4 linked regions of the Caenorhabditis elegans genome follow. The protein of the gene in region 1 interacts with the protein of each later gene in a pairwise test. Each region holds a gene or a part of one and is shown on either strand. Other genes may lie near its edges.

The links.
Region 2: the proteins of dmd-8 (region 1) and xnd-1 interact in a two-hybrid assay, tested with the Caenorhabditis elegans proteins (one large-scale study listed by BioGRID).
Region 3: the proteins of dmd-8 (region 1) and mxl-3 interact in a two-hybrid assay, tested with the Caenorhabditis elegans proteins (one large-scale study listed by BioGRID).
Region 4: the proteins of dmd-8 (region 1) and hlh-25 interact in a two-hybrid assay, tested with the Caenorhabditis elegans proteins (one large-scale study listed by BioGRID).

The regions. Positions count from the first base shown.
Region 1 is NC_003283.11:332,588-340,441, reverse strand, and holds dmd-8 (DM domain-containing protein), read left to right. Parts: upstream 1-3,991; 5' UTR 3,992-4,003; coding exon 4,004-4,139; intron 4,140-4,295; coding exon 4,296-4,468; intron 4,469-4,517; coding exon 4,518-5,036; intron 5,037-5,307; coding exon 5,308-5,589; 3' UTR 5,590-5,841; downstream 5,842-7,854.
Region 2 is NC_003281.10:5,600,389-5,609,761, forward strand, and holds xnd-1 (X chromosome NonDisjunction factor), read left to right. Parts: upstream 1-4,071; 5' UTR 4,072-4,072; coding exon 4,073-4,445; intron 4,446-4,491; coding exon 4,492-4,681; intron 4,682-4,731; coding exon 4,732-4,823; intron 4,824-4,870; coding exon 4,871-5,072; intron 5,073-5,161; coding exon 5,162-5,408; intron 5,409-5,865; coding exon 5,866-6,204; intron 6,205-6,248; coding exon 6,249-6,830; intron 6,831-6,877; coding exon 6,878-6,961; 3' UTR 6,962-7,168; downstream 7,169-9,373. Other genes in the region: madf-11 (MADF domain-containing protein), read right to left, coding at 215-367, 805-944, 989-1,272, 1,321-1,373, 1,416-1,643, 2,213-2,484, 2,533-2,794, 2,839-2,930 and 1 more; C05D2.8 (DUF7064 domain-containing protein), read right to left, coding at 7,186-7,450, 7,935-8,045, 8,090-8,330, 8,734-8,809, 8,860-8,991, 9,044-9,214.
Region 3 is NC_003284.9:13,346,550-13,354,027, reverse strand, and holds mxl-3 (Protein mxl-3), read left to right. Parts: upstream 1-3,223; 5' UTR 3,224-3,237; coding exon 3,238-3,330; intron 3,331-3,381; coding exon 3,382-3,655; intron 3,656-3,707; coding exon 3,708-3,852; intron 3,853-3,907; coding exon 3,908-4,103; 3' UTR 4,104-4,389; downstream 4,390-7,478. Other genes in the region: ptr-24 (SSD domain-containing protein), read right to left, coding at 6,165-6,356, 7,091-7,171, 7,231-7,352. UniProt on the Caenorhabditis elegans protein: Transcription factor which regulates the expression of genes involved in lipid metabolism in response to nutrient availability. Binds to the E-box motif 5'-CACGTG-3'.
Region 4 is NC_003280.10:5,532,060-5,539,453, reverse strand, and holds hlh-25 (Helix-loop-helix protein 25), read right to left. Parts: upstream 4,216-7,394; 5' UTR 4,215-4,215; coding exon 4,057-4,214; intron 4,001-4,056; coding exon 3,770-4,000; intron 3,723-3,769; coding exon 3,305-3,722; 3' UTR 3,049-3,304; downstream 1-3,048. Other genes in the region: hlh-27 (BHLH domain-containing protein), read left to right, coding at 1-154; C17C3.11 (Protein kinase domain-containing protein), read right to left, coding at 1,044-1,291, 1,336-1,408, 1,455-1,619; hlh-26 (Helix-loop-helix protein 26), read left to right, coding at 5,732-5,880, 5,942-6,148, 6,199-6,475; C17C3.9 (Coiled-coil domain-containing protein), read left to right, coding at 7,200-7,247, 7,343-7,394. UniProt on the Caenorhabditis elegans protein: Probable transcription factor. Modulates lifespan and also recovery from the developmentally arrested larval state known as dauer, perhaps acting upstream of phosphatase PTEN/daf-18.

The sequences.
Region 1 (7,854 bases):
GGCATGTAGGCATGTAGGCATATAGGCTCTTAGGCATCCAGTCATCTAGGCATCTAGGCAACTATGCATCTAGGCACGCAATTCTGAAAATAGATTGATAGCGACCAATACTCCTGATCCCCTAGCTACAGTATCCCCATCAACCTTTAACCTTTCCAAACGTTCGCCCTCTCAAAGCCGCCGAACAAGAAAACTTTTCAAGTAAATAACACGAGCAAAAAAAGCGCGGCGTTTCGATTACGTCAAAAGTGTGAGTGTTACAATAGGGATACATGTATACATACACATACCCCGTCACACTTTAGAGGGAGGTTTCCGAATAGCGAGGATAATTTTCAACTTGAAATTCGACACCCCCACCCCCTTTTCACCAATAGGTCGACCTAGGTAAACGGGCGGGAAAACTATGTTGCGAAGTTTTTTCGGTGATCACACAGCTGTGTCAAAAGATGATGGGGACAAAGTGAAGGTTGAAAACTTTGGTGGGGTACTGTAGCGGCCGACGTTTCCCGGGTTGCGCCGCCACTGTGACCCGCAAGGTGTCGGCCGCAGTATTCATAACCGTAAGGGCTGTTGAGGGACGACATGGGGCAAACAGATTGAGTCAAGACCTCTAAGGATTATCTTTGTAACTGAACATTTTAGAAGTTTACTGGTTGCTGAGCTAAAAATTACGTCAGAAAAATTCGAAAAACGTCAGAAAACGCCACAGAAGTACGGATTAGCCTCCAGATAAATGATGGAAACATAATATTTTTGAGAATTCGAATATTTATTTATTTCGATTCATTTCTAGTTCTGTGGTTCTTTTTTTGTTGATATATATATTGTTTTGACAGATATATAAAATTCTCAATACCATCATACTACACACATTTTTTTTCTTAAAACTGTGGAAACCCAAAAAATAAATATAATTTTGGCAGGTGAAATTTGGGCTTTTGATTTTTGTTATTAATCAGTATGCCCATGTTCAATTTTGCCTCACTATTAAATTTTTCGAGAGTTCGCTGCGAGACCATTCAAATTCTAATTTTTCAAAATTTCGACAGGAAAATTAAATTTAAATTTTTAAAACAACTTTAGTAAGGAATTAAACTTTTTACAAAAAATTCAGAAATTAAATTCCCGTGGCTATTTTTTCGAGAAAATCAGCATTTAATATTTCAGAAAAAAAAATTGGCGGAAAAAATTGCACAAATTTTGAAATTGAACGACAAGTTTGATTTTTTAAGGAAACTCAAAATTTTATTTTAAAAAATCTTGCAAAAATTCAAATTAAAAGTTTTAATTTTTTTGAATAAAATTTTTTAAATTAGGGGGTTTCAACTTTTTTTCCGAAAAAAAATTATTTGAACTTAAAATGTTTCATTTTTATAAAAACTAAATTTCTCATAACTTTAGTGTTTTTTTACTTTCAAATTTGAATAAAAACCACCAAAAATTGATTTTTTTCAAAAATGTTTGTCAAAACAGGAATCATGTCAGTAACCCTCCAGACAATCATGTTTTGTGAAACGTACCCAAATCACGGGGGACCAGTAGTGTCTCGCGGTGTCTAGAACAATTTTGGACAAGCGATCAGAAACGTGTACATATAATACATATAAGTCTAAAGTTAGAAAAAATTTCTAAAAACAATATGTATGTTTTTAAATGTTAAAAAAAATTAAATATAGAGTTGTTTTTTTGAAAACTGGCAATATCACAATTTTTGCCACTTTTTCGAAAATCAAATTTTAAAAGTAAAAATAAATTTCTTCGAGCTTTTTTAGTCTACTTATGAGTCAAATATATGGGGCAAAACTCAATAATTGCTTTTTTTGACTGTCCATAAATTTTTTTAAAATTGTTTTGAAAATTTTTATTTTGGTATTTTGTCATTTTACACAATAGGAGTGGTTTTTAACAATTTCTTAGCTGGCCCGACTGCATCTTCTACATGAAAACTCAGGAAAACCAGTGATCTCTCAAAACTTTTGAAATTTTTATGAATAGCATTGGCCAGCATCGCATTTTGAACCATCTTATCCAGTGACGCAAAAATTTGACTTGACCGAGTCAAGCCGGTGCTTATCCAGGTACTTTCGAACAACGTGGCTTGGAGCTATCAAAAATGATAAGCAGATTGAATTTTGACGTTATTGGTGTCAAAACCAATGTCACTAGGTATGGTTATTTTTAGGAGTGCAGGTTTTTTTTGGAAAATAAAAAAATGTAACTTCATTAATTTTTTCCAAGAATTTTTCTTATGGGTTGATTTTTTTCAGGCTTTCTACCTACCTCCAAGAAATCTTGTTGCATTCTATGTTTTCCTATTACCCCTATTCCACGTGACAAAATATAGATTTCCCCGGTGGGAGCAAGAATTCTTCAAAGATTACGGTAGAGCGTCTAGACGGTGGCAAAAAAACAAAACTTGTCGATCAGAAATGAGCATTTCCCAAATGAGCATAAACTAGTATAAAACAACTAGTTCCTACATGTTTTAGTATAGTTTTTTTAAACATTTTTTTTACTGGAAAAAATGTTTTTTTTGTGCAGCCGACAGTGATCGAGGACGGTACAGAATTTTTTTTTAACCTTGCGTGTAAAATTTGGTGCATTGGAGTCGGTGAACGAGGCTTTCGGGCTTGCTTGCCAGGCTCCTTTTCAAATTTAGATCGAATTTCATTGTTTAGAAAAAACATTTTAAAAAATTATTCCATTATTTAGAAAAAGAAAAAAAATCATTCAAAACAAAAAAAGCATGATAAAGGCAATCACAGAAATGGATTTAAATCGCCTAATAATTCAAACACAAGGGCTAAGCAATGCGAGAAAAAGATTAGCAATCGTCAAAATCCGCTACAGATTTTCTTATATTTTCCACACAAAATTTGAAACCACTCTGAGCGATTGATTTTCGACACAATTTGTCATCCGATTTGTTGAAACTTCTGAAAATCTTTTTAGTTTTAGTGTTTTTTTGTGGTTGTTATGAAACATTTTGCAATGATTTTCAGCTTGCTCAACTTTGAATTTTCCAAGGTTTCGTAGGCGTAGACCATAGGCGTAGGCCATTAGCCATAAGTGTAGGTCATAGGCGTAGGCAGTAGGCGTGGGTCATAGGCGTAGGCAGTAGGCGTAGGCCATAGGCGTTGGCCATAGGTGGAGGTCATAGGCATATGTCATAGGCGTCGGCCAGCAAGTTTTTCAAGTTTTAAAAAATTCGAGTGTTTTCAAAACGAGATGAGCACCACCTTTTTGTGAACAAAATGAAATAAATCGGCTTTTAGTCCAACTGCTCAGTTGCTCCATACTGATCCGCGTAAAACCCCGACCGGATTGCCCCTCCTTATCTACGCAAACTGCGAATCTACGTAATTTCCCCCATCGACATGAGAATTCCGTCATAGCTCCGCAGAGCCAAAATAGAATGTTTACGGCGAATTTTCTCGAATGAGTGGGGAGGGATGGCGGAGACGTTAGACATGGTTAGACAGCAATCAGGGATATTCAAGAAAGAGGCGGAGCCGGCAGATACAGAAAATCTTTCATTCCTGGATTGAAGATGGGAAAGGCGGATGAAATTTTATTTATTTATTTCGATTCCATTTCATTTGTGAATTCATTTCGATAGCTTTTTTGCTCCAAGGGGAGCTAGGTTACTGTAGATAAGGGAAATTTTTGGTGGCCGAAGAAAACTAGAAAAACTTCGGTCACGCGCCCAAGCCTCTACAACTTCCTGTTTTGCTTATGCTTTCCCTGAAAATTTCTCTGAAAGCATCGTCTATATAGCCCCCAGGGCCTTATCAGGCGACTAGTAAAACATGTCACAAGATTTTTTTTCAGACAAGTGACTGAAAGTACTGTAAATATTCCATTGACGCAGTGTCTATAAAATTTCAGCCAATCAGGTCATCAAGCTCAAGCATCCCTTATCTTGTAGCCCTCACAATTTCATTTTGTGCTTCAACTTTTCCAACTCTTGAAAAATGGAAAATTTCAGACTTACCTGATCATGTCCTCATCTTCCCTGTCATCTTCTTCAAATGCCTCATCGCTCAGTGCTCCAGAAGGGCTTTCACCAAACAACAGCCTCTCCCCGGATGTTGGAGCACAGAGATTTTTCAGCCAAGGGAAAAGGATCCCGAAAGGTGAGCTATAGCTTCTTAGCAGCCGACAGTTAATTGGTTTCACGAGAAAGGGTCAGTAGAAAAATGTATGGTTGGTTAACTGTCGGCTGCTGATTTTTTTTCAGAAATTAGTATGGCCTACGCCTAACATAGTTTTATTTTTTGTTAAATTTTCAGATGTGAAACGGCACTGTGGAATGTGCAAGCAGCATGGAGTTTTCGTAGAGACGCGCGGGCACACCTGCGAATATAGAAGTTGCGAGTGTGAGCAGTGTGACTTGGTCCGTAAGCGACGGGAGATCATGTCAACTCAGATTCGTCTCCGACGAGAGCAAGACAAGAAGTTCCAGGTACCTTGTGATTTTTTTCCTAATTTTCCTAACTATCCCCGTGTTTCAGCGTACCAATGATATCAGCGAGGCCAACGTGTTCCCAGGCTTCACAGGTGGGGAGGCAGATGAAAAAGCTGTCATGGAGAACATGAACATGTGCTATTTCTGCCAAAAATGCAAGAATCACAATGTGCTCGTCTGGAAGAAAAATCACAAAAAGGAGTGCCAATATTCCAGCTGCGAATGCCAACAGTGTAACTTGATTGATTCCCGTCGTGCCCTGGACCGGCATATTAAGAAGCGAAAAATGAGCATAAAGGGCAACACGGTTGAAGCTATCGCACCGAAAAGTCCCAAAAAAGAGGGCTCCACCACGGCTTCATCATCGTCACTCTCATCTTCTTCGGGCTGCAATTCGGACGAGTCGGCTTCATCCTCGGATTGCTCGCTATCTGGAATGCTATCAGAGAAGTTGAACATGGCTCCGCAGGTTCAGATGAAATTCGACTTCAGTGCCGGGGGATTTATGATTCCTGCAGCGACTTCGGCAAATGCAAGCACTAGTCCGGCTGGTTCTCCATTTGAGGTGAGGTTCAGATTTTCTGAAAATTTTTTCAGGTACAGCTTGAACCTGAAAAGGCATGTGGGCATGTAGGCATGTAGGCATGTAGGCATGTATGTATGTAAACCTGTAGGCATGTAGGCATGTAGGCATGTAGGCATGTAGGCATGTAGGCATGTAGGCATGTAGGCATGTAGGTATGTAGGCATGTAGGCATGCACTAGTCTCGTCCTAAAAACTGCTCTAAAAGGTTTTTTCCAGAATTTCTAAAATTTCTAAATTAAATTTTTTTCAGACAACATCTCCAATGCCGCTTCTCCTTCCGCATTCACCAATTGCTCTTCCACAACTTGCTCCATCAAGCCTACCGCTTTCATTTCTTACCGTACCCTCTCTCATGTCCACCGCGGCCTCACCATTTTTCACGGCTCCGCTTATGTACGGAGCTGCTCCAACTCTTTTCCCGAATCCTCTCCTGATGACCCCTATCGGAATGCAAATGTTGTTCCAGAACTTTCAAAATTTTCAGAATATCCGTGAGCTTAGCGCTGCAATTAGCTGCGCTGAAACCGATTGATTTTTCTTTTTAATTTTTCAAAAAAAAAAACAATTTCCAATCTGTGATTTATTGTCTTTTCCCTGTAAAACTCTAGTTCCTTCCCAGTTGCACCTCAAAAAGAGTAAAAACCCCATCGAAATTTTAAGCTGTGCGGGTTTTCAGTTCAAACATGATGATAATAATATTTTGATGTTTTTGTGTTTTATATTTCCAAAAACTTTTTTTTGATTCTGCAAAAGTGATAAATTAATAAAATTGTACTCTTATCAATTTATGACTCGACTAGAAATTGAATTATAAAGTCACGGTTTTTACAGAGAATTTTCCGAATTTTCAGCCACCATATCTGGAATTAAGCTTGGATTTAGAAATTTCACGGCCTTTTTTGCATAAAACGTCAGGAAGCAATCCCATATATTAAAAAAAAACTAAATGTTAAAATTCAAATATATATTTTGTAGAATTTTTTGTAATTTTTTTTCAAATTTTGCTATTCCAAAAATAAGCTTTCCGGCTAAATTGAGCAGTTTCACTTTTTTTGATTTTTTATTTGAGACGTGATCTGTCAAATTTGCATGCATTTTACAGCAAAAAAATTAATGTTAAGTTCAGGCCAGTTTTAGAGTTTCACCCAATTCCTTTCGGCCTGTCAAGTTTCCTTTAATGACAATGGTTGAAAATTTGAAAAAAATGGCCGAAAAATTCATTTACCAGTGAAATCTCACAATCAGATTTTTTTCAATTTTTGAAAAATTTAAAATAAATCTTTAAAAAATTAGAAATTTTGTTTCGGTTAACATGACCTGTTTTTTTGTATCTCTTCAAAAAATCTCTTATAAAAAGCGAACTGTAAAGTGTCGGCTGCTTCCTAGAAGTTCTCGTTGTCTTCACAAATCACAAATAAAGAAAGAAGTCATGTCACGATCGTGCCCTCGAGACGTCATATCAAATTCTATTGCTTATCAATGTTTCAGTGCCCAACCTGAATCCTGAGTCACCCGAGAAAATGTTCTTGTTAACGACTCGAGCCGGTACTAGTGATTTCATAAGTTTCTTATCAGCTTTATCAATAAAAAATGTTTTTAGTATCGTCTTCGTAAAAGAAAAATGGAATGCCGGTTTTGAGAATCACATAGAGCTTGTGATTTTTGAGATGACGTGAGGAAGTCAGGTAGTATAAAATAAATTACGTTTGAGTAACTTTAATTGGATTTACTTTGGTTTTTTATTGTTCGGTGCTCGCCACGACATCATGCCTGCGTGCCTGCCTACCTACGCGCCTTCAGGGTGTGGTGGCAGTAGGCAATCTTAGGCTAGCACGCCAAATGCTCAGGTTCTGCAAATTTGTTTTTTGGTGTTATAAAATTTCCCTTCTTCTCTATGTATCCTTATCGAAAATTGTTGATTATGGAATTTTTCACACAAAATGCGGGTTTTTTCCTATCAAAATTTTGGAAAATGTCAATTTTTTCCGGACAAATTGACATTATTGTCACGGTTTTAAAATTAGGTATAAAAAAGATAGACGGATGCTCAAAATATTTATTTTTGACTTATTTTTAAATTTTCAAAAAATATTTATATTTTAAGAATTAATAAAAATAAGAAATGTAAGAAATATTTCCGAAAATCTGTTATTTTTCTACCAGTTACCAGCTTTTCAACCAGCCTACTTTCCTGCCGGTGCCTGCTTTGGAATTTCAGGTTGGTAGGTAGGTTGGTAGGCAATGTATTTTGAACCTTTTGCAGTAATGAATATTTTTCATGAAACTTTTAAAACATATACGATCTTGTATTGGCGCCTATCTGAAAGTTGCGTCAGACGAAGGCCGGCTTGCAGGCTGACAACTAGGCCTATACGGAACACAAGTTGTTTTTTTATCGAGAAAAACTGAAAATAATTTGATAATAGAACTTTCTGTGCCACTTTTGAAATTAGCAAATCACGAAAAAAATAACGAGCAATTTGTGACCGTTTTGTGATTTTTGCACCGTTCAATAATTGACTCACATCCCCAGACCACAGTTTGATAACAGGAAAATTGTGAAATCAAATCGAATTATTTCCTCTATTTGCCCAAGTAAGGCGGCAAAAAAAGTTTCAAAAGTTTCTCACAAATTGTAAACACAAAGGCACGGTTTGATAAGGGAACACAGTGTGGAGCACAAAGGGCGGGCGGAGAGGCTTCTCATCAAAAAGGTGTTGGCTTGTTTCAAGCATATTTTCAGGAGAGTTGGCTCCGCATTTTTCCAAGATCATATGCATATCTATGTTATATGATA
Region 2 (9,373 bases), on another chromosome or scaffold:
ATTAAAAATGTTATTGATTTCATCTGAAAATTATGACAAATGACAATATTCGAAAAAAATAAAATAAATATTTTTGAGAGAAAAGGAGAAAAGAGAAAAAAGAATACGTTATGTTCACTGATATGATTGATTTCGGGAGAAGGATGGATTTTTTTCAGAAAAAAAGAAAAAAACAAATTAAATATTACAGAAGCATTGTACGTCAAATTAATGTCTAAATCTCTTCAGGAACTTCGTGATTCGGATCAATTTCCACGTGTGACTCTACCTCCAGCATCTCATCGTGTTTAAGCATATTTCGGGCTGTGCCTAAGCCAAATCTTGCGTCGAGTATAATTTTTTGCATGTTGAATTTCATCACGGATTTCTGAAAATAGATTTTTTTAATATTTCGAAAGTTAAATATTGATGTTGAAGTTTGCCTGGTGATTTTTCAATGGGAACTTCAATGATTTTTAGGCTGATTTATTACAAATATTGAACATAATTTGATTTTTTTTGTTTTAGCTCATTTTTTAAAACAATTTTTCCTGTGTAACTCAAGACTTGAATCCAGGATTATTTCAAGTTTGCTTGTATTTTTTTCTTTTTGGAAAATTTCACTTTTTTCTGAGAAATTCGATTTTTGTCCACAATTTTCAATGTTTTTTCTCAAAATTTAAATTTTGTAAGCAAATGACATTTCTTCCTATAAAAAATTTTTTATATCCAAATTCGAATTTTTGTATAAAACTCCAATTTATTAATGAAAAATCGAATTTTTAAAACTCTTCCGCGTAAATTTTGTTAAAAACCAAAAATTACCTCATCATCAGATAACCTGTTCAAGACACTATTGATATGTTGTTGAAATGCGAGATCTTCATCATATTGTATCGCCATTTCATCAGAAGGTCCTCCAACCACCACTTGCTGCTCAATATCATCTCCAACACCCCCATCATCTGAAAATTCATTCAATATTCATATTTTTCCAGCGAAAAATTACCAATATCTTGATGATGATAATGATCCATTGAAGTTGATGGCATATCCATTTCATGATTTTGTGAACTTGATTGTTGAGATTCCAGAAGCATTCCAGAACCTATTTTACACTCTCCATCAGCTTCTAAAATAATCTCATCGTCGGCAATTGGGACTCCATCGGTTAGAATTTCTTTGGGTAGACACGGGGCATTTGATGAGGTTGATACACCGACCATTTCACTATTTCGATGACCCACTTCCAAGTGTATTTTCTTTTTTGGTGGTTCCGATGGCATATTTGAACTGAAATGTTTTATTAAGTGAAGTTTAAGAAGTAAAAAAAAAACTCACGAATCTATAAGTTCTGGCATCGAATCATAAACCAGGGAGTTTGTTCGGTGAGGCTGAAAATTTAATTCTTATTTAAATAAATTATTTTTTCCTACCATATGTACCAATCTTCTAGATGAAGCCACTGTAACTGCAGGTTGCGGCGTTGCACTTCTATGCGCGGAGACCATTTTGTAAATTTTCGTATTCGATTGAGCATAGGAGGGTGATGGTTCCACCTCCACCAATACACCTTGTCGTCCAAACGGATTAACTTCCTTTTTGACTTCATTCATTTGATGTTGTTGGTCTGGATTATTCTTCTGTGGCATACGATGCTGTTGCTGGAATGAAAAAAAATCAAAAAATTGTTATCGGACTACGAGCTCATCAACTACAACACGGCGAATGAGCAGATACTGCAGATATTGGTATTGCTTCATTAGTCGCGCACACAATGCAAGTTACAAAGTGTAATGCACCATGAAGCGGGGTCGAACTTGTGGACTGTTGCTTTGCAGACGAGAGTGTTAGCCAGTAGGCCACCCGTGCATCACCGCAAGCGAGGCCGGTAAGGGGTTTTTGAATGCTTGCCTTTGCTATTACCCAGACGTGAAATTTGCGATTTTTGCGCCAAACATACGGTACCAGGTCTCGACATGACTAATTTTTGTTAAATACAATAAAGTGTGCGTCTTTAAAGAGTACTGTAATTTCAAATTTTTGTTGAAAAGCTATGAAAATCGATGAAAATTCCGTAGCAACAAAAGTTTGGAATTACAGTATTCCTTAAAGGCGCGCATCTTGTCGTATTTAACAAAAATTGTTGTGACGAGACCGGTTATCTCATAGTCAGCAAAAATCGGAAAAATTAGGGTCTGAGTAGTAATTACTTCATCGTTTTTGCACTTACCACTATCCGCTTCGGCGATAATGGATAAGTTCGAACAATTGCCTCTGTTTCTCTTGATTGTGGTGATTTTCGACGGGAATATGAAGATGTGGGAATTTGTTGATGTGGCCTAACATGAGGCTGAATAACCACATAATCGAACTTCATGGATTCAGAATTTCCGAGACTTTGTCCGGGTTCTAATACATCTTCTGCCAGCGGAACGTCATTATAGAAATCCTTATCCAGTCCGGAGGACATTGCGGTGAGCTGTGAAGGAGGTCGAGAGTCTGCTGAAAATATAAATGATTTTGGTGTATTTCTTTGCAAGAAACTCTTACATTTCTTCTTAAAAATCAATGAATCTGTCCATCGCATTGCCTCAATTAGTCCATCGGACATATCAATCGATTTTCTAGCATATTGATCGAGAAGATCCGACCAGACTTCCTGAACAAGAGTGATGTCCTGCCAAACTATATCAGCACGTATCCGATCCCATGCTTCTCGTTTCTGAACCTTCAACTGAGCATCCGGCGTGGCGGCTTGCATCTCCTCATCGTAGAGAATCGGATTTTCTCGAACCATATTGATTAGTTGAAGCTGAAAATTTGAAAATTTTGAATTTTAAACGTTTTCCAGCTTACAAGTGTGTATTGCGTAGTTTTTACGGGTGGATCTTCCCTGGAAAATTGTTGTTGGAGGTCTCCAGCACCACCGTGGGAGCTTGAGGCGACACCTGGAAAAATTATTGGAAATTCTGAATCTATGAATATCGATTTACTTGTCATTGAATGCTTGAGACCGGCGATTTGATAATCCTCTGTTCCGTGCCGCCGTCGGTCGCTCATTGGAAATTTTTAATAATAATTCTGAAATTTATTTTCTTCTCAAATTCTCGCAAGTTTCTCAAGCATTTCTAGCTGCGTTGCGTGGCGATTCCTTCCCGAATTCGAGTTTCATATCAATCTACGATCCATTGAACCCAATAACCCGATTGGCAAGAAGATGATCGTACACACTCATTCACATAGGTGATAGACGTGCTACAGACCGTGGGAGACTCGAACGGGTAGTAGGGCGGAGCCGGGAACCGCGACGCAACCGAAACGCTTCAGAAACCGCAACGGAACAGGCATGCGAAGCGGTCAAGATTCGAAAAAGAAAACGGAGCGAACAGGCAGAAAAACATCGATAGATAGGCGCGCGTGGCCGAGAAGGAGGCGAGACGAGACATCTAGGCCATCGATGGTTTCTCTGCGTCTCTCAAGTGAGTAAATAAATGGTTTTGAGAGGGTAAAATGAAGAAAAAGGATTGATCGAAATTTAAAAACTTAGTCTAGGAAAGGAAAACAAAGCAGGGGAAATCTGAAACAAAACATATAAAAACACACATTTTAACTATTTTTCAGAGTTAAACAAATATAATCTAACAAGAATTCAACTTCAAAGTGAAGATTTCCAGAAACGAAAATGGTTATGTGATTTAAAAATGTGATTTGTTCAAGGAATTACAAGAAAACTCTGGTTTAACATTTGAAGAAAATCCATATTGCGAAAAATGAATTTTAAAAGAATTATTGACGGTTTTGAAATGTGAAATTTTCAATAAATTTCGAAAAATAGATAACTTTTTTTAAATAAAGAAAAACAACGAAAAAATATTTCAGTGGTTACGGTAAACAAGCATAAGAGTGTTTGCGTACTGCGGACCAAAATCTTCGCGAGACCTCGGGTACTGTAGAAAATTTAGGTATTTTTAAAACTTTATTTTTCTATTAATTTCCCTTCTTTCTCATTGGGATTTTCTAGTTTTCTGGTAAATAAAAACAGTTTAAATTTAAATTTAAAAATTTTATCTCCATATTTTTTGTTTCCAGGATGTCTTCTGAACCCATTGTTGCCAATCTAGACAATTCCATGACGACAGAGCCTGCACCCGCAGCTTTTCCACCAATATCCCCAATGTCATTTGCTTTTATGAATGAAGAAGAACGAGCAGCGGTCAAGTTTCCAAAAGTTGATCCAAAACCGCAAACTGCTAAAGATGATGAACCTTCCACATCCCAGAAAACGTTGAGCGTCGATGATCTTCTGATAGTCGACGACGACGACGAAACTGATTCACCACCGGCATCTTCTAGTAATTATGAACCTAAAGCTCATATTGGATGGGCTTCATTCGGAGATTCCTGTCTCCCACCTCCACCAAAGCCAGTTAAAAAAGCTACGGATCCAAATTTGCCACGAAGAAGTTTGTTTGCAAATGGTCCTCTGTTAAATAAAAATATTGTTTTCAGAAGTCTACGTCATTCGTTCTCAGAATACAGACAAGTCGAAGTCCCCGTTAGTTGTTAATAACCAACAAGTAACACTCGAAAAGGCACAAAATTCTCCAAAAAATCCGAATCCTGTTGTATCTAAGCCAATAGTGCTTACAGACTCTGATGAGGATGTGGACGTTGTTGGATTCGACGAAGAGGAGGAAGCGTTAGTTTTTAAAAAGTTTTTTATTAAACAAAACAATCACCCGTCTTCAGAATTAAAATTATGGCCGACCCTACACGCCCACCAGATCTTCCACCACAGCGATCTCTGATATCCAGATTTGAGTCGAATCGAACCAAAAGAGGTATTTTCCATGAAAATTTGATTTTTTAAAGCTCATTTTCTCTTCAGATATCTTCCGAAACAGTTATGATTCTGATGAGGAGGAATTTCTGCGATCTCGGTACCAGCGAGCTGTCACACCGCCGCCAATTCTCGAGCGACAAAGTGGAAGTACTCGGGAGTCTGTAAGCGAACCAAGTGAAGGGAAAATTCTCGAGGAAGACGCAACGCTTGGAAGTGAACATACGGAAAGAGTCGGAAAACGAATTGAGTAAGTTGAATTTCGGGTTTTTGAAAACCTTGACTTCCAAAATAATGACAATTTGTTTAATAAGTCCTGCTAAAAAGCAAATTTTCCAGATTGGAGGAAATCAATCCATCACAGCTTCTACGAACCAAAATTTCGGCGAGCGCAATTCCAATCCTTCCACTCTCCAAATCGATAATGGAACGTAAAAAAGTAGCTCTGGAGATGACGAAAAACGCCGTGATCAGACAAGCGAATAACTTCCGTCCAAAAGCCAAAAACAGTACCGTGGCTCCAAAAAGTGTCCAAATTCCTGCATATAATCATAAAACTCCTATGACGTTCTACTCGAATATGGCGGTAAATTATATATTTTTGGAAAACCCTAAAGTGGAACTTCAATATTTCGAATTTTCCTGCATTATCATTAACAAAAAAACTTTTCAGCAATTACTAGTGTTTTTCATCCAATAATTATATTATTTCATTCCCTGTTTTCATCATAAGCAAAAAATATTTTCATCTAATGGTTGCACAAAATGGTAAATTTTTTGAAGAACTACAGTAACCCAACTCCAGTTTCTCTCAATAAATTAAAAAAATCTTGGCGAAAAATAAGAAAGTTCAGCGACATTGAAAAGAAGAGGAGAAGGGTTACTGTAGTTCTAAAAGGCGCTTACATTTTTGCGCCGGGATGATTGGAGATAATTGTTCGTGGTGCGACCGTAGTTCTTCCTAAAATTTTGCCACTGGCTAGTACTTTACAAAATCAAATTATTTGTGGCGAGACCTACAACGAACAATTTTCAAAATTCAGGCCCCCGCCTTCGTCAAAGGAGTCAATGGAAGATGTTATCGTTGCGCCGAAATTCAAAAGCCTGTGGATATGAGCTCCTTCCGATTCGTCGACGATTCTACCGTTATTGCCATCCGTGCTCATCTTTGCGATCAGACACGCGTCATGGTAGCTAGAACAGCAATTTGGAATCGAGAATACGCGAAACGACTCGGCGATCGAGCTGCTGGAACTGTTTGGCAGAAACCGGACGAGGTGTCGGCTCAGATGACCGGATTTTGCAGTGCGACGGTTCGTAGATGTATTGAGATTGCCAATATGTCTATCATTCCAAAGTGTGCTGATCGTGTTGGTGTTTCGGTAAGTTTCAAAGAACAAAGAAGATTTAATCTAACTTTTTTCAGAGAAACGAACTGACCTCCCTGAAGTCTTCTTTCGGATCCGAGAAGTTTTGTGGGCAGACCATGCGAGCTCCACATGTACTCACTCAGTTCTACTCAGTTAATCAGGCATCGATGGCTCGTAATAGGGAAGGTTCTGATGGTCCTTCTTCCTCAGCAGCAAGACCGGTTGGAAGACCACCCACTACGCAACCAGTAGAAACTGCAGTGGAGAAAAAGAAGAATGATGAAGATGAGAAAAGACATCATCCACTCACAAACTTCACAACAGCATCCACGTCTTCCCAAAATCTGCAAGATCAACCACCACCCAAGAATACCGTTCTCCGCTGGTCAAATATCACAACTCCGAGGATTCTTCGTCCACCAACTCTCAAAACTCCCTACTCGCTTCCCAGGACTGCAGTGATTCCGGTGATGAAGAAGAAGCAGCCCGAAATAGAGCAAGTTCAGCCGAAGAAGGACACGACGGCAAGCCTTGTTCGCAAAAGAGGCCGCCCGAGAAAGGAGAAGCCTCTGGAGGTGCAGTCTCCTCGCAAGGGACTATATCTTCGCTTCAAATCGTGCACAAAGTATATTGTTCGGGTAAGAGAACTGAACAATTTGAAAACTTGAAATATTTGGTTTTACAGACTCCAATTGACAAAAGTGTCCAAGAAACGGTGAACTATCTACTGGATGAGGTTGACAAAAGGGCTTCAACTTCTGCTACGTAGCTGCTACAATCTCTGTTCTTTTGTTTTTGTTTTCTCGTTCTAAATGTTTTGTTGTCTCATGTTTTTAGTTCTTCGGAACTTGTTATCCCCTCCCAGTGTTTTATTATTTTTTGTACATTTTACTGTTGCTCTGTTCTGCACGTTGACCCCACATTTGTTAGTAGCATATGAAACGGTTTTATAAAGTAAGTGGAAAAGGTAGAAAATCTGAATTTGATAATTTTTTAATACGGCTGAATACGATACTCGACTTCCGCGAATCCCCATCCCGGCTTTCCGTCGACAACGAATTCGCTCATTCCTTCGGTGACCTGACATGCTTGATCCAATCCCATTTTGAATGAGACGGCTTCCTTGATATGAACATCTGCGTGATGAATCTTGCCGTCAACTTCGAACGAGTAGTGGAAATCATCAGGGAAATGACGATCCTCTCCGTGGTTTGGAAGGGAGAAGTGTACACGATCCACTGGCTTCGTCTCACCAGTTCTGAAAAAAAAAATTTAGGTTCTGCCCATTAAGGAAATTACTAGAATCTTTTGCGAGAATACGGTACTCGGTCTCGAAACGACTTAAAGGACACTTATAATGATCCAAAACGACGAAAAATCATAATAAAACACTCCAAAAATGTTTATATTTTTCGTAAGCTTTCGCAAATTGCCAAAATATTGAAAAATAGGAGCTATTGAGAAAATCTAAAGCAATGTTGCATACCCCTACAATGTGTTAATACGAATAGTTAAAACAAAATTAAAGTATTAAAAAATGTGATAAAAAAACAATTTTTTGGGGTGACTTCGAAAATTATAAGTGGAAAAACTGAGTAATTGTCACTTTTTGACATATTCCGTGAATTGAATTCCACGGTTTCAAAACGCTGTGAATGTGTGGTGTCTCTCGCAGAAAAATTCAAATGCGCCCTGTTGAGCCATTTTATGTGTTTTCTTGGAGCGTAGATGCATCAACCCACGGTGTAACAATATATCCAAATTCAAGGTGACTAAAAACAGTTTCTGGCATTGAAATAACCGAAGTATGAACACATGTACCATCTTCCAAATGGTAAATCATCATGATATATCTGGAAATTTAGTCAATCTACGATGCAAACAAGTTCCACTTTACCTTCGAATGTCTGACCATCTGCGGTATCCAGCAATCGTGTGATCTCTCATGCTCGTCATTCGAATTCCAGAAGCAGTGTGATTTCCAATTCGAAAATCTCCAGAAATCGTTCCAAATTGTTCATAGTGTGACTGATGGGATGCTCGCATTTTATCGAAGAGTCCACGGCTCCATGGCTCAATTGCTAAAGAATGAGCAATTGCAGTGGGGGAGCACATCTTGTCGAAATCGAATTGATTTCCTGGAAATAGAAAATAAAGTAAAAAGACGTGCGAGGCCAATAAGCGGGCGAGGCTTGAGATTTCACAAAAGCGTGGGTGGCGCCATCGAAGATTTCTTGTAGTCACCAAAAAAGCAGGACACTTACCGCGAAGCTCACCCGCGGAAAAGATTCTTTGAATTTTGGCTATCGCGGAAGAAAAAATATTTTCTCTGTAGGAGGTGTGCACAAACAATTGACATTGAATTTCAGGACATAACCCTAAATTGCTTGCCCCCTTTCCAGAACGTTCGCTCTGCGGTAGATTACATTCCCTAGGAAGTGCTAACCAGCTCTTAAGAATATTTATCCGTGTTCTCCACGTGGACAACATGAAGATTGACTTTTTGAAACGAATTTCACTAGAACCGTTAAATTCACAAACCGAAATTCGTCCAAGTCAGGTCGAAATTTGCGTCAAAAATCTTTATGCCATCCTTCATCTCCTCGGATCCGTTTTTCTGAAAATTGACAATACTTTGTAAAACATAGGAAACTCCAAAAAACTCACAATAAAATTGATTTTCCCCGGTGCTGAAGCTAATTTTCCATTGAACTGTATTCTCCACTTTTTCATTGGTTCAATGCAAGAAACGATGAAGCCACTTTCTGTTTTCCATTCTTTTTCCGGACATTGGATGCTCTGAAAAAACAAAAACGGTTTCTGATCACATCATTTCTTTTTCTTGGCTCACCTTAACATTTGTGTCGGTATGAAGCTCCTCGTTCACAAAAGTTCCAATTTCTGGAATTCTGAGAATAAAGAATAAGTTTATAATATTGTTAGGTCTCTGAGCTGTTCCAAGTGTAATGTACCATCCATCTCGGTTCGAAGCATCAAAAAATACTGCGTCGGCGGACCAGTCCTAAAATTTTTAAAGGTTTCTGGGCCACCTGGAAGCTCTAGGATGTTCTGTGATATTTCTAGGCACCCTTATTAATTCTAGGCCATCGTCGAAAAATCCCAATTATCTTCAAAATTTGCAAGCAGCTTTCAGTATTTCTAGACAACCCCAGATAGTTTT
Region 3 (7,478 bases), on another chromosome or scaffold:
ATTGTGTTAGCATATTATACACAATTTTTAAAGCTAAGATTGAATTTCATGCACTTTCTTTTTGACATAGACATTTTAAAAGATAATTTCTCATAATATTAATAATCAGTCATGCTTCCCCACAGGTGCAAATCATTTTGACCCCGTCAGTCTCTTGAGCGACTACGATATAGGCGCGCTCTTTCTATTTGCCACTACCGCGTTGATACACAATGTAGTCACACTTACTCACGTCGCAACGAGGAGGACCGATCGCGAATTGTTCTCTGTTCACTCGAATTAGTTATACGAGTTTCATCTCTTCCTTTCAATTCACTCTCCTCTTTCAATTGGGTTCATTGCTGAGTGTTTTGTGATTTTTCGATGAACACGCGTACCGCACGTGAAGTGTTGATCATGCGGAGAAATGTCAACTGTACGTTTCTTAAAAGATACTCTATTTTCACTAATGTGCACTGATCAGAAGCAGGAAAGTAGTAGAATCGACGTAGCAAGTCAAGGTGTATTCGGGGATCAACGAAACAACTGGACCAATATATGCTCTTTGATCACGTTGGGATCGAAATTGAAAGAGAATGAATTTTACATCCACCCTCATTTAATCTGTTGAGGGTGTGGATTAGTGTAAATTCCAAGCAATCAGATGACTGCCAAATAGGGGATAAGTTGGCTTAAAAATTAAGAAAAGCTTAGAAAACCACTTTCAAATAGATTAATATATTAACTTAATTGGTATAAAAATGCAATTTCTTTGCGCTCTAAAGTTTGGCGAAAAAACAAATCTTTGATTCATAGCCTTTAATAAATAAGTTTTCAGATTGCATTGAAACAATTAGAATCACATGGTTTAGACACAATTCAAAAATCCAGTCAAGATTGATTCATCCGCACTATAAAATAAAATATTTATAATCATTCACGAGCTTTGCCATAAAATATCTGTATCTAGAGTAGCAGTACTGAAATTGCAAATGGTGGCAAAACTAAGAGTATCCATATGTGTATTTGATTAACTTGTGGTACAATGCATAATTAGCAATGGTTTTGCTTGATTGTAGCGGTTAAATGCCGGTTTCACGAAACCTAAATGTGGTTAATCCAAGGTATATTCAAATATTAAACTTTTGTATTTTTTATTCCGTGTTTACCCGATTACATTCATTTTAGATTTGATTCATTCTCTCGATTCAAGAAAAAAAAACAAAGAAAAACAAGGATTTCTAAAAGAAAACCCAGCTCTATTTGAAATCTTTTTCCCAAATTCCTGGTAATGTACAGCACGGCGGTTTTATCTTTCCAGAGCTACTCCCTCGAAGAAATCTGAGTTGATCCAGAGAGATTAGTGGTTAACGTTTAGATAACACACTTGATCGAACAAGCCGCCACCACGCTGTTTTTCGGATTATTGATATATAGTTGTGATTTTCAACAGATTAGCAAAGGATTTTGTAAAGCTTATCGTCAGCGTGCTTTTTTCTTTTAATTTTTTGCACGAGCAAGACACCCACCCTCGCTTTGTGCAAATGACCCTAGTTCATTTGAACTATAATATTATTGAAATTTCCAATCAAAGTCCATATCACTAAATTCTGTAGATACTGTACAACATCCGAATTGTGAAATCTGATCGTTCTTGGCGCGAAATCATATTCACCCCCTACGTTAGCCCAAAGTACGATCACATTTCTATCGCAGTCGTCTAAAATCAAAATCAATTCAGGGTTCATTAAGTGAGCGTCGCATGACCTACGTGATAGAGCAATTAAACTGAAAAACCCAAACGTTCGATGTCTAAAAATATCATTCCAGAGAAATGAAATACATTTTCAGTAGACCTATGTGCTAGAAAATGTGGAAAAAATTATCATACCACCACCATGACTATTGACAGTGAAAAAAGAGATTTTAAAACTGCAAAAAAGTTTTAAAAATTTAGTTATTAAAGAATTGAATCTGACATTACTCCAAGTCTTACAGAGTTATGTAGCGTTATGTAGGGCGAAAATTTGAAATGATCTGTTGTTATAATTGTAGTGAAACATATATTTTGATGTTCTTCTTTCTTAGTATGATAATCTGCGATTTTTTGTAGGAACGAATTTATTTTTGGTTGAAAGTCAACGACTACAAGGAATTCGAATATATGTTGGCCGTTAATACATTTTTATTTTAGAGGAAGTTTGCCTTTTGACTCAAATTTTTTTCTGTAAAACAACAACACATGTTTAATTTGTTTACAACGTTTAGCTACAGTCCCCTAGGCCACACACTGCTGAAAGAAAAAAAAACAAAAGTAACTAACAAGTTTGGGGTCATAGTACACCAAGTTGTTTGTTTGCAAAGTTTTTTGCCTGAGTCTGTTCACTCCTAGAGGTGTACGGTACTGTTGACACCACCATACATCATTCGGAAGTAATTTGACCTACATTTTGAGCTCACTCAATGTTATCAGAGGTCTTTGTGCGTTGCACACATCACGATGCACGCACACTAAGTCAAGGCAGCCAAGGAAACAAAGTTTCGGGTATTTTTTGTCGTCAAGAAATGAACACGGCACGTGAAGGCGCATGTGAATGAGAGGATGCGTTGCACCCGACCGTCACCATCGAAATTAAAATTGAGCTACGCATTCTTTGAGTGTTTGCACTTTTTGACATCCCCGTGTTGCCATATTTGTGCTTCTCCCAATCAAATTGCTTCTTTGCTGACATCCTCAGAATTTCTTCCAAAACATTTGTTCCTTGTACCCTCTCAAGGAATGCTTCATCTTGATCCTTCCCACAAACGCATGCTACCCTTACGAGATCCCCGCAAGATTCACATGATTTCAGTGATCGGTTGACAAAATGGGGGAAGGCTATAACCTTCTGCTCCAAAACATGGGCGGAGCTACAGAGCTTATATCAAAGAGCGCCACTTCTCCGGGCACCCTAGCACCCACAGTGGCTGAGGTGCAAAGAACACACGCTGACCGCGTGTTGGAGGCGGCGCGTCGACTCCTCCCTTTCTGTCAGACAGAACGCCCCTTTTCCTATATCTTCCTTCTCGCATTGCAGATCATACCACAGTTAACGACACCCTCGAAGATGGTCGCATGGCTCTTTTACATATTTTTTGTTTAATTGTGTATTTGTTTTTGTTTGTGATAATTTTCACTTACAGTATTCTTATATAACCTTCTCTTAAAATTGATATTTCATTGCTATATATATTAAATTTACAGTCAACATCTCTACCATGTCCGCAATCGTTGAAGACATGTACTTGCTTTCTTCATCCATGAAAATGGAAAAACAATTCCGCAAACGCCATCACTCGGATTCTTCCGATGTAAGTTAAACTTCTGTTGTACCCTTATTTTACTAATTGTTCTTTTTCCAGGACGATTCTTCAAGCCCGAAGTCGGCTTCTCCATCCATGGATGATGACCGTCGTGCACATCACAACGAACTTGAACGCAGAAGACGTGACCATATCAAAGATCACTTCACCATTCTTAAGGATGCCATTCCACTGCTTGATGGGGAGAAATCGTCGCGAGCCCTGATCCTGAAACGAGCAGTTGAGTTCATCCATGTCATGCAAACTAAGCTCAGTAGTCAAGGAAAAGCCATTGAAGATCTCACAAGGAAAAACGAGCTTCTTGAGGAAAGGCGTAAGTTACATGGATATCTAGTGGATTCATGAGCTCAATTTCTAATTTTCAGTGCTCGAACGCGAGTCTTCCGGTTCTCCATCTTCCTCTCGGCTTCCAGCTCTTGCTGTTAGCTCAAGCCAAATGCAGCTCACCATGCCAATTATCCCACAGATGCAAAACATTGCACAGCTGTCTCAATACCCACAACAAGCAAAGTAAGTAAACAAATAAATTGTTCCGAATCTGATTTTAACAATTAAGTATTTTCAGTATAATTGCTCAATCCACAAACCCAGCTCAATTAGATGGGCTTATTGCTCTTAACAATGATGCCATCTTGGCTTTACTCGGAAGCTTTCAAAGCGTGAGCCCATCGCTTTTGGATTCTGCACCTGGTACTCCACCTTCTGGCTTTTATCCTTGTGCATTTTCTCCGGTTGATCAACAAATGGCAGTGAAAATCTAAAAACCTTCAAAAAGGCTTTTTTATTTCTTAGATACCCCCACCCTTCGAATTCTCTAATATTTTTTGATCTCATTTACTCGGTCGTCATGAACCCTTCTTCGGACATTCCAAACATCCATTCGGTTTCTCCGGACATACATGGGTTTCACGTGTACTTTAAGAATTGCCTGCTTGATCTGACAATATATTATTTCAGTTTTTTTTACTCACTGATTTGTTCCAGTTATGATATCTTATTTATTGATAATGCCGATAATAAATACTGATAATAAATATTTATATCAACATTTTTTCAACACCAGTAAAACACATTGCAAAAAATTAAAATTTATAAAGGCACCCAATAGAAAGTCTTTCAGCTACCGTAGTTCTTTGCTGCAAAGTAAACAGGTTGTTACTTTTCTTGTCAACTTTATTTAATGGTCAATATACGCGTCAGTAGTCGTATACTTTAAGGATTTTTACAGAAAAAATATTTATGTCTATTCCTCTGGACTTTTGCATGGGGAAAAGATTTGGATTTTAGTAGTGGTCATTTTTATAGAATTGAAATGATGAAAACAATGCTTTTTACCACTTACAAATTAGAGTAACTATTTTCCATTATACATAACAGAGATCTGCGACAAATTTGCCGAAATTGCCCAGCAAGAGAAATTTCCAAAAAGTGGGTTTGCCAAATCTGCCGAGATCGGTAAACTTTGAAATTTGCCACACACATCACAAATTCGACTAACATAATTTGACCGGAACCATTGATTTTGCTCCAAAACTTCTAGTTAAGTAACATGTAAGCAAGACTTGTACGCAGATAGACCACACGGATCTTGTGAAAAAATCAAAAGTATGCTTAGAATTCACCATTTTTGGTGCCCCATACAATATCAAAAATTATCACATTTTTTCGAGCTTTTCCGGCAAATTTGCCGAATTTGCCGAGTTTGGCATATACTAGAAAAAAGAGCTCGGCAAATTTTCATTTTTGCCGCACACCCCTGGTAGATCTAAAAAAATCTGAATACACATAGCACTACATTGAAAGCCAAAAATCTTTGGAATAGGTTTGCTGTTTTGAAATAGGTCGTTTATTGCACTTTGCTCCTGCAATTCTAAACAAGCATGCTCTAAAACATGATATCAACTCAAAAAGTACACGGTACAGTGCTCTAACGTTTTGTTGTAGTCAAATCATATTTCATCACGTATCCAAAAAAAACCGCTCTATTCCACTTTTCTTTCTTTATAATGTGTGTTCTCTGAGGCCATTTCGTAAAACAATATGCGAGGCATATCATCACACGTGTCATCAAATGACTTGATGATATGATTGGTTCAAAATATCAAATGCGAGAATCGCATCGTAAGCCAACGGAAAAATAGTTGTTTCAATTCAAAACACACTTGAGAGAACGAGGACAGTTCACTGAACAACTCAACATTGAACCTTCAAGGAGGAATATCGAAGATCGCTGGGAGTTTGTCAATGAAATATGACGAATATGTTGTGATACAGATTTATCAAGTTTTGCAGTTGTTCTTATTTTCAAGAAAAAAAGCCTTCTGAGAAATTATATAAAATTTACGTTTTATGAGGACCGAATTGTTCGGGGAGAATCAAAAACTTTAGCATCTTTCCCAGGGTGCGCGGCAATAAGACATTTTTGGCAGATGGACATTTTGTCAATTCCTAAAATTAACAGGGTTTGCTAAGAATTGACAATTGTTAAAAAAAAAAACGTCAAAAGTTGTTAACTGCATAAGTTTCACAGTTACTTCTACAATAAATGATTCAGTTACGCTTTTTATAATTCAAACAAAATTTATTTAATAACTGAAATTATCCGAACAAATACAATACATGCGAAACAAATACCACAAAATTTCCCTTCTTCGCCGAAGAGAACAAAGTTTTGGCACAATTTGGAAAAGATTAAGGTCTAGAAACCGTAGAATGTCGATAAAAAAGTGACAGGAATGGTTGAAAATGAGATGTGGTGACATTTAGCTTACAGATATTTTTTGGAATAAAAGTTTACAATGAAACACTAAGGAAGAAATTAATTAAGATTGAGGGGAACAAAACCAATGGGTACCCGTGAACATGTCGGGGAGCATGTTGAGCATGACTTGCACGAAGAATGCGATGACAATACCCAACAGACAAAACACGTTGTTGGTGAAAGCCACTGATTCGAAGATGTTTATATGGCAGAACATAGTCGGCACGAAGACCGCAATAGAGCATATGACACTCTGCAAAAATTACAATTTTTAGGACTTGAAAAATTATGAAGAGATTGGTGAACTTGTTGCTACTTTTCTGTTTTTTTACGTGTTAACAGTTTTCAATAAGTTCCATCAAATTTGTGTTTCAGTGATGTAACATTCACAGTGAAACATCACACTTTGGCTAACCAAGTCACTAAGTTCAGCAGACATGATTTATCAGTTCTGGTAATCGTAATTTTCACATGTCTAGTTCCTGGAATCGAATCCTGCATATAGAATCACTTGCTCAGCTGCTGATGTTGTAGCACATGTGCGAGCAATTTATGACTAGTTATTTTTGCAGATTTCAGCAAAGTTCATTTATTACGATGTGTCTCTACTATGTGTTATGTGCGGGGCTGACAGAAAGTTCGATTTTTCTTAAAAATAATTATAATAATTTAAACAATTTTTGTGGATTTAAACATTTTCAACAATTGTTTAAGAAATTTCTTATCATGATTGAGACTAATTTTCAGAAAACCTCAAGACATATTTATGGGGTGTAAATCGTATTGGCTCTAAAAATGGGAAAAGCTATGAATTCTTCTAGAAAGAAGGAACATTTTTTTTTTGGAATGCAGGAGTAACTGTGGAGACAATCAGTTTCAGAGAATCCAGTTGTTTGCGAAAAGCTCGAGTCCCATAACTATTTGCTATCCCCCTCCTCAGTTTAATTTTTCAATTAAAATTTGTTATCATAATGTTCAAAACCCTACCGCAATGCACGGAAAGAAACACTTTCTCAGCATCTCGTTCATTCTGTCAACTTTTTTTGCTCTCAATTTGATACGCATTGCCTGCAACATAAAAGATTAAAAGATCTTGTCACAAATTGTATCACGTTTTTTAAAATCACCTGTTGATAATAATAGCAATAGTGCGTTGTACAGCTCGGTGCCAAGGCAGCAATAATCAGGAAAAATGCCGCATTGAAGGGATTGATAGTGACGTCATACAGGGAAACAGTTCCGATTGTTGCTTAAAATGTGCAATTTCATTAAACAATTAGAATTTCATTAATATTTATTACCACAATCTTTGAATAAAATAATCAATTATACTGTAATGTAACTAAATCAAATAAATTTTAAAAAGTAACTGCAC
Region 4 (7,394 bases), on another chromosome or scaffold:
CCCAACTACTCAGTTCAATGTCTTGTCAAACTACAACACCGTTCCATCAATATTTTCTGCTCCCCTCCGATTCATTCTTCCATCACTTCAAATCTTAACACCAGAAACTAGTGACGAGGAAGAAAATGAAGAAACCGTCGATATTAGTAACTAGTCTATCAAGTTCTTCCAGATCTTACAATTAGTTTCTGAGCAATTTTTCGAAAATCTTCATTGTCTATATTGCGTTTTTGATTCATTTTTTTATCTTTCTATGGCCAATATTCCCGAACTTTTTCATCCCATCGCGTCGCAATCTATTTTTGAAGATTTTTTACTACTCACGTGATAGTCTTGTCTAAATTATTCTGTTTGAAAATGAATGTTTATTCGGTAAAATTTGTTAGCCAGAATACAAGCAAGACAAGTATGTATAATCAAAGTTCCATTAGTCCACACCAAATTCCATCTCCCAGTCATACGGAAACTCTTCAATGTCCTTGTCTAGCATCACTTTTTGCAGTGTTGTATAGATCATCTCATAATCGGGCTCCTTGAAGAACGAAAGACTGTCGATATAGCTGGAAATGGAAAATTACGAATAAATCAGCTTTGGTAGAGACTCACTTCATAATCAAGCGAAATTCATCTGGGCAGCCAGCAAGGAATTGGCCCATGATCGGTTGGAAGCGGGAATTCTTCTTCATCGCACCAATCTCGCCAATCTCATTTACATTTTTCCAGGGAAGAGCTGCATTGGTGAAATCGACGAGCATGTAGAACCTAGAAAAACACATTTTCTCAAATAAAAACTATTATTCTTATTTTCAATTCTAAGTGATAACCCAATCTGGCCTTCTGGCATCTTTACAGAATATATCACATAAATGACTAGTTCTTAAATTGATTAAACTAGCCAGCTTTCCAAATCGTCCTTCAGTCCATGTTCCGCCGTATTATGTGATGCAAGCGGTGCATATCGAGGGCTTCCACGAAATGGCACAGTTTTTCTTGGCTCGAGCATCAAATTTTCGCGATCTACATACTTTCGGCAACATCCGAATCTAAGAACAAAAATGTTGCGAAGCTCGCCTTGGCTTGCTCTTCCGAGATAGAAGTTGCCAGGGTTCACATCTCTGTCCAAGAACCCACTCCAATGCAAATCTTCCAATGCTTCCAAGCATTGAAACGATGCCCCAATCGCAGAGCCCAAATGTCAAATGACCATCAGGCCCAGTCTTTATAGCATCTTGCAGGGATTTCCCAAGAAGCTTCATGACAATATAGTTAAAGTTGTCATGGCGTCCCTTGTCTGAAAGATGGGGTTACGGTTACCTACAAAAGTGTACTACATACCAATGAGAGTAGGCATGTGGCTGGGCGACTTCTCAGATACCTTTGTCATCACACAAAGCTCAATTCTCAGCGACTAAAAATAACATTTTCTGCTTAATGGTTCGACAGTATTAACTCACATATATCTCCTTGGTATTCAACTGAGCCTTCAAAACATGCTCCTCTCCAGCATCATCTCGCACAGCATACACTGCTCCGAATTCACCATCTTCAAGTTTCTTGAAAACCTTGTAACGACGAACTCTATAGTCAATACTTAGCTGAATAACGGGAGCCTCCGTCATCTCGTGACGAGAATAGATTTGAAAATAAATTATTTATGGATTTTCGGAAAATATTGATCTTGTCGTTGACGAACTTTTTTAAACACAACGTTATCACATCTTTGAAGTCCACGTTCAAAAAAAGTTTTTCTTGTTTTTTTCTGCAATAAAATTAACTTCATAAACTAGAAAAGGAGATTTTCAAAAATCCGGACTGTTGATTCAAAATTATTTCAAATTGTTTTTATTCTGATATATATATATATATATATAATATAAATTAACACAATTCTAATATCCCCTTTACATTCTCAACCAAAATTTCCTATAAAAAGGGGAAACTCACGCCCATAACATGGCCAAATAATTGTTTGTCCATCTACGGGTCTCGCAGCGAAAATCAAAGTTTATTCGGTGTTTTTTATTTATCTTTTTTTTTTGGGAAATTATGAAACTAATTTTTGTTAAAATGATTGCAATTTCCAAAAAAATCAAAATTTCAAATTAAAAAGCTCGAAAAAATAGTTTAAAACTGAACTCCCACTACAAACTGCCCAGCGGAATTTGGAGTCTCGTTTGGCCACGCCCACTCGGTTCCTTGAACTTTAAGTTAATTCAACTTTCTACAGAACATTTTTAGATTTTTTTTCAATTTTGTATTCAAAAATTACACTCAAAAACAAGAGAATTCTATAAAATTGTGAAAAATGAAAAAAAAAAATTCAAACAAACAATTTTTGTCAACTTTTTCAGAAAATTACATAGTTGTCAACTAGCAAATTATAGAGACATTCTAATTATTTTTTCCGAGCTCTAAATACAAAAAGTTACGCAATTTAAAGTTAGAACTAAAGATTTGTTTTTGAACATTTTCAAAAAAACACATCCCCTTTACATTCTCAACCAAAATTTTCTATAAAAAGGGGAAAGCCACGCCCATAAAATGGCAAAATAATTTGTTGTCCATCTACGGGTCTCGCAGCGAAAATCAAAGTTTTTTCGGTTTTATTTATTTATCTTTTTTTGGGAAATTTAGAAACTAATTTTTAAAATGATTGCAATTTCCGAAAAAATTAAATTTTCAAATGATTTAGTAGGGAAGATTATTAATTTTTCAAAAAACCTCAAAAATGACATCCTGTCCCAGCTTCACTGAATATCGGATGTTTCCGGATGATGTCGACAATCTGCTGACCGGCTTCATTTAAGAAAACATCGAAAAGCTTTAATTTTAGAACTTCCCCGTATGGAAAAGTTTATCGCCACTTTTTCAATTTTCCCTATGTGTTTTTTTTCCAGAATGGGACATCCCACAAAACTTTGACGTAAGTTTAAATTTTTTGAATTTTCTGAAGAGCGCACCATTGAATATTCTCTAATACAATACTCAGGTGTAGGTCAATAGGTTTGGTATGTGGCAAGAATGAACAAATTAATGTTGAAATGTGAAAACAAAATTTCAATTTATTAGAATTTGGCTTATCATAAGTATAATACATTTTCAATATATTGGCATTAGATAAACATTCAAAAAGTTTGGTGACATAATGAAACAATGACAAGTTGATATTGTGAATGTGGCATAATTTGAGATTACGGGGATGTGAAAAATATAATGAAAGAAAACCAGGAAAGTTTTGACAGCCTTAGAATAGAGTATAATAAGTTTTTTTTCAGAAATTGTAAATTTGCAGGAGATCGATAGACTAGTTAATTATATCGAGGGTTTCTTCATTTTCTTCCTCGTCACTAGTTTCTGGTGTTAAGATTTGAAGTGATGGAAGAATGAATCGGAGGGGAGCAGAAAATATTGATGGAACGGTGTTGTAGTTTGACAAGACATTGAACTGAGTAGTTGGGATCATTGGAATACATGGAAATGTGAGCAATGGAGAAGTAGATGTTGGGGATTCTTGAACTTCTTGAAACGTCAATCTTGGGAAGAGATCCTTCACTTCCATTCGTGTTTTTGGCTTTTCATTCTCTTTGTTCTCACAAGTAGCAGTTGATTTTCCAGCTAAAAGAGGAAGTATTTGGGGAATTGTTTCTGGATACAGAAGATCGGAATTGTGTTTAATGTAATCAATGATGATTTCTAGAATTGTGATCCGTTCAAGTTTTAATCTGAAAATAATTTTTTGAATTTTTATTAGCCATAATGAAACTCTTACCGTTGCTCGTAACTTCCCATTTGTTTGTTCAAAATGAAGAATTTCAATTCAGCATAACAGTCATCTTGTTTCTTTCTTCGAATCTTTTCACGTTCAGTCTTCACTTTTCTTCTTTCGGATTCAGTATCAAACTTCCGTCTTGTAGATTCGGAGAGGTCATTCGATGAGAAATTAGATTCCAGATTAACTCCAGTCACAAGTTTCACAATTCGGAAGAGAACTACTTCTTGTCTAAAAAATGAATTAGTTTAATAACTATTTTAAGCTAACAGAGTATTTAAACTTACGATATATGTTCTTCTTCTGATTTTTGAACAATCGTCTTGCATTCGTTAATCAACTCGTTTGTAATATTTCTTCTTTTCCGTTCAGAAGCTGATTTTGGAGTTTGATTGTATGGGACGGAACGATAATCGCTCATTGAAGACTGAATAACTTTTGGCATCTGAAATTTAATAATTTTCATTAATTTAAAATCAATAAGAAATGTAGAATTTATAAAAATTCAAGATGAGCCGTTAAAAAGGAATAATTGTGACAAAACAGATAAATGGGACCAAGAAAGCAGCACAAATTGATTTAGTTTAGTGAGATAACTCGTACTGTTTTTCTAGAAGTATACAGTTCACTGAATGCTTTAAAAGTAATTGATCAAAATCAGTACACTTTCCTGATGTTACAATTATCAAAAAGTATACTAAACCAGCAGACCAGTGATCCACTAAGAAAGTAAATGAACAATGAATAAATGGTTACCTTTTATAGTTCCATTATTGTTCAGAGGGTGGAGCTTTGTATCAAGCGTTTGGAGCCATGGGAATTATTCTGAAATCTCTATTTTTACAGTCCCCATCACGGGTTCCCATGGTTCATCAGTGAGGTTCTCATGAGAACGAGTCAGGACATCTCCAGTTTTGCCACGACTGGATATTGATTGGGTACAGCCTGGGAAATTTCGGCGGAGACTGTGAATTGACATTAACCATTTTTATCACTCATTTAATCAGCTTGCCTAATCATTATTTGTCTTTAATTCGCAAAGTTTCCAATATTCAAGATCTGATTCTAATAAAAATTACCAGATTGATGTATATGATAATGCATAGAACATACAACTACCAAATTTTACGGATTCATTCAGTTTATCACTCAAATATGGCAGTTTTTCATTTTCTGAAAATAATAAGCCAGTTTAATTTTAACATATAACCTTACTGATTTTGAGAACTCCGGTTTGCTGGAAATGCTCACACAGCAACAGAAAAAATTCACACCGGATACATGTAGGTGCCAAGTTATAAGAAAAGTGTCACACGCTGAGATGGAAACCTCGTAAATTAAAAATAAATTGAGATTTTTTTAAACTTGGATATTGTTTTTTAAAACATTTCTAGAACAGCTTGATATAAATATTTTAAACTATCATGTAAAGGAAAAATACTATAACCTAATTCATGTATTTGATTATTTGAGTTAATTAATATGCATTTTTATTTTAAATATTCTAAATTCTTCTTTTGTATTATATATTTACATTTTTAAATTCCATCGAGCTCCGATTTTACCAAATATTCATTTCAGGATTATTTTTTCCCACCAATCAATAACTTCGTTCAGGTTGTGACCCTTCGCATTGCTTGGGTTCTCAGGCTGCCACGGCAAGAACTGGAGATGTGGTACTCGATGCACCATGAGAACCACGCGTAATAAAGGTATGGATATCAGATTCCCATGATATTCCAAACGATGAGAATCCCCGCCTATTGAAGAAAAAACTCGAACATATAATGGAAGGTAGTCATTATGTTTTTGCATACTTGAACTGTAAGGTTGGTTCTTTTCAACGTTTTCATAAGTCTTTAATTTGAACTGCCTTTCATATTTTGTAGTCTCCCTATTACGGTTTTTGTCTAATAATCTTTTGTTAACTATTATTATTATATTTCAGATCCTTGACTCATAATGTCTTCCTCTCCAACTTCGTCATCATCTGGGTCCCCTTCTTCACATGGACATCGATCTGAAACAGAAAAACAAAGAAGAGATGATACTAATGATCTGTTGAATGAATTCAAGAAAATCGTTCAAAAATCGGAATCTGAAAAACTTTCGTAAGTTTTCTACTATTTTATTTAAAAAAAAAAAACGTACTCTCAACTAATGTCTATTCAGAAAAGAAGAGGTTCTATTTCGTATTGTGAAATTGTTATCTGGTATTCAACTTCATCACGAATCGTTTTCAACATCGCCTGGACCAATTAGAAGTATTAAAAAGATTAAAAGCGATCGGGAACAAGTTCGCCGAAATAAGAGAGTTGCCGCGTACAGAGAGCTCAGAAAATTTATTGCATTGAATAATTTGAGTAGCTCAGAAGAAATGTAGGTTTTAGATTTTATTGGCCATAAATTAAAAAACACGTATTTTTCAGAGACAAAATGGAGAATTTGAAGGTTCTAGAAATCATCTTTGAAGTGATTCGTGGAAAGTCGATCACATGTACAGTACCTTGCCTACCATTTCCAATACTTCCTTTTCTCCCAGTATTCCCAGTTTATTCGCCATTAGTTTTCAATTCATACAATCAATTTTCACTTTATCCTCCTCACATGCCTACAGTTCAGATTCCTATTGTCCCAAGTTCCAGCTTCGAAATTGACGCTCTGGAAATAGAAGAAAATGAGAAAGATATCGATATTGTTGGCTGAAGAGATTCAGCTGAAAATCGTATTGGTCTCCAATTTTTTTCAACAGTTTTCAACATTATTTAGACATCTTTTGCATCCCGATTCATTGAAAATTAATAAATTTAAAAAAGTAACATCAAGATAATAAATTCAAGTTTAACACACAGCAATATTGAGATTTTCAGCACAGTGTGCATGATAATTTGAACAGATGCGTAGCAATTGGAGAAAAATTATAGAACTGAATTGCGTTCTTACCAGGACTGTGCGGCAACCGAGATTTAAAGAAATTTCGGCAACCGGCAATTGCCAAAGTTGCCGAACGCTGAAAACTTCGGCAGCCAGCAACTTCCGGTTGCCGGAACTTCGGAAACTTTTCGGCAACCAGGTTTCAAAGTTTTTTTTGTCGAAATTAAATTTTTGAGCGTTTTGGAAAAATGTATGGTCGTTTTTTTCGTTTACAGTGAAATTCTAGCTTTTTCAGGCTCTCTGCATGTTTTTTTTTGAGTTACAAAATGTTTGACGTTGATATGGACAGTTGCCAAAGTGCCGAAAAAAGTTCGGCAACCGGCAACTTGGTTTACGAACCCTGAAAAATAAAGAAACTGTGAAAGAAAATTCAAAAAATGTCAGCACAACTATTAAAAATAAACACTTGGAACACGTGTTCAATTTCTTTGAATTGAAAATATAAAAACCATTTAATAAGAAAAATTAGTTTTTCAAGAGAGCTCGACCAACAACAATGGGACGCAAAAAGCGGCTGAAGGTCGAGCGAAAGGCAGTTGCAGAGGTGAGTGAAACATTGTATTTATAATTTTACAGGACTAAATTTCTCATAAAAACTATTATTAAAAGTGTATCTCTTCCTTATCTGATTTTTCGCAGAACCAATCACAAATCTTGACTATGGTGACTATTTCTGAAACGGAAATGGAGA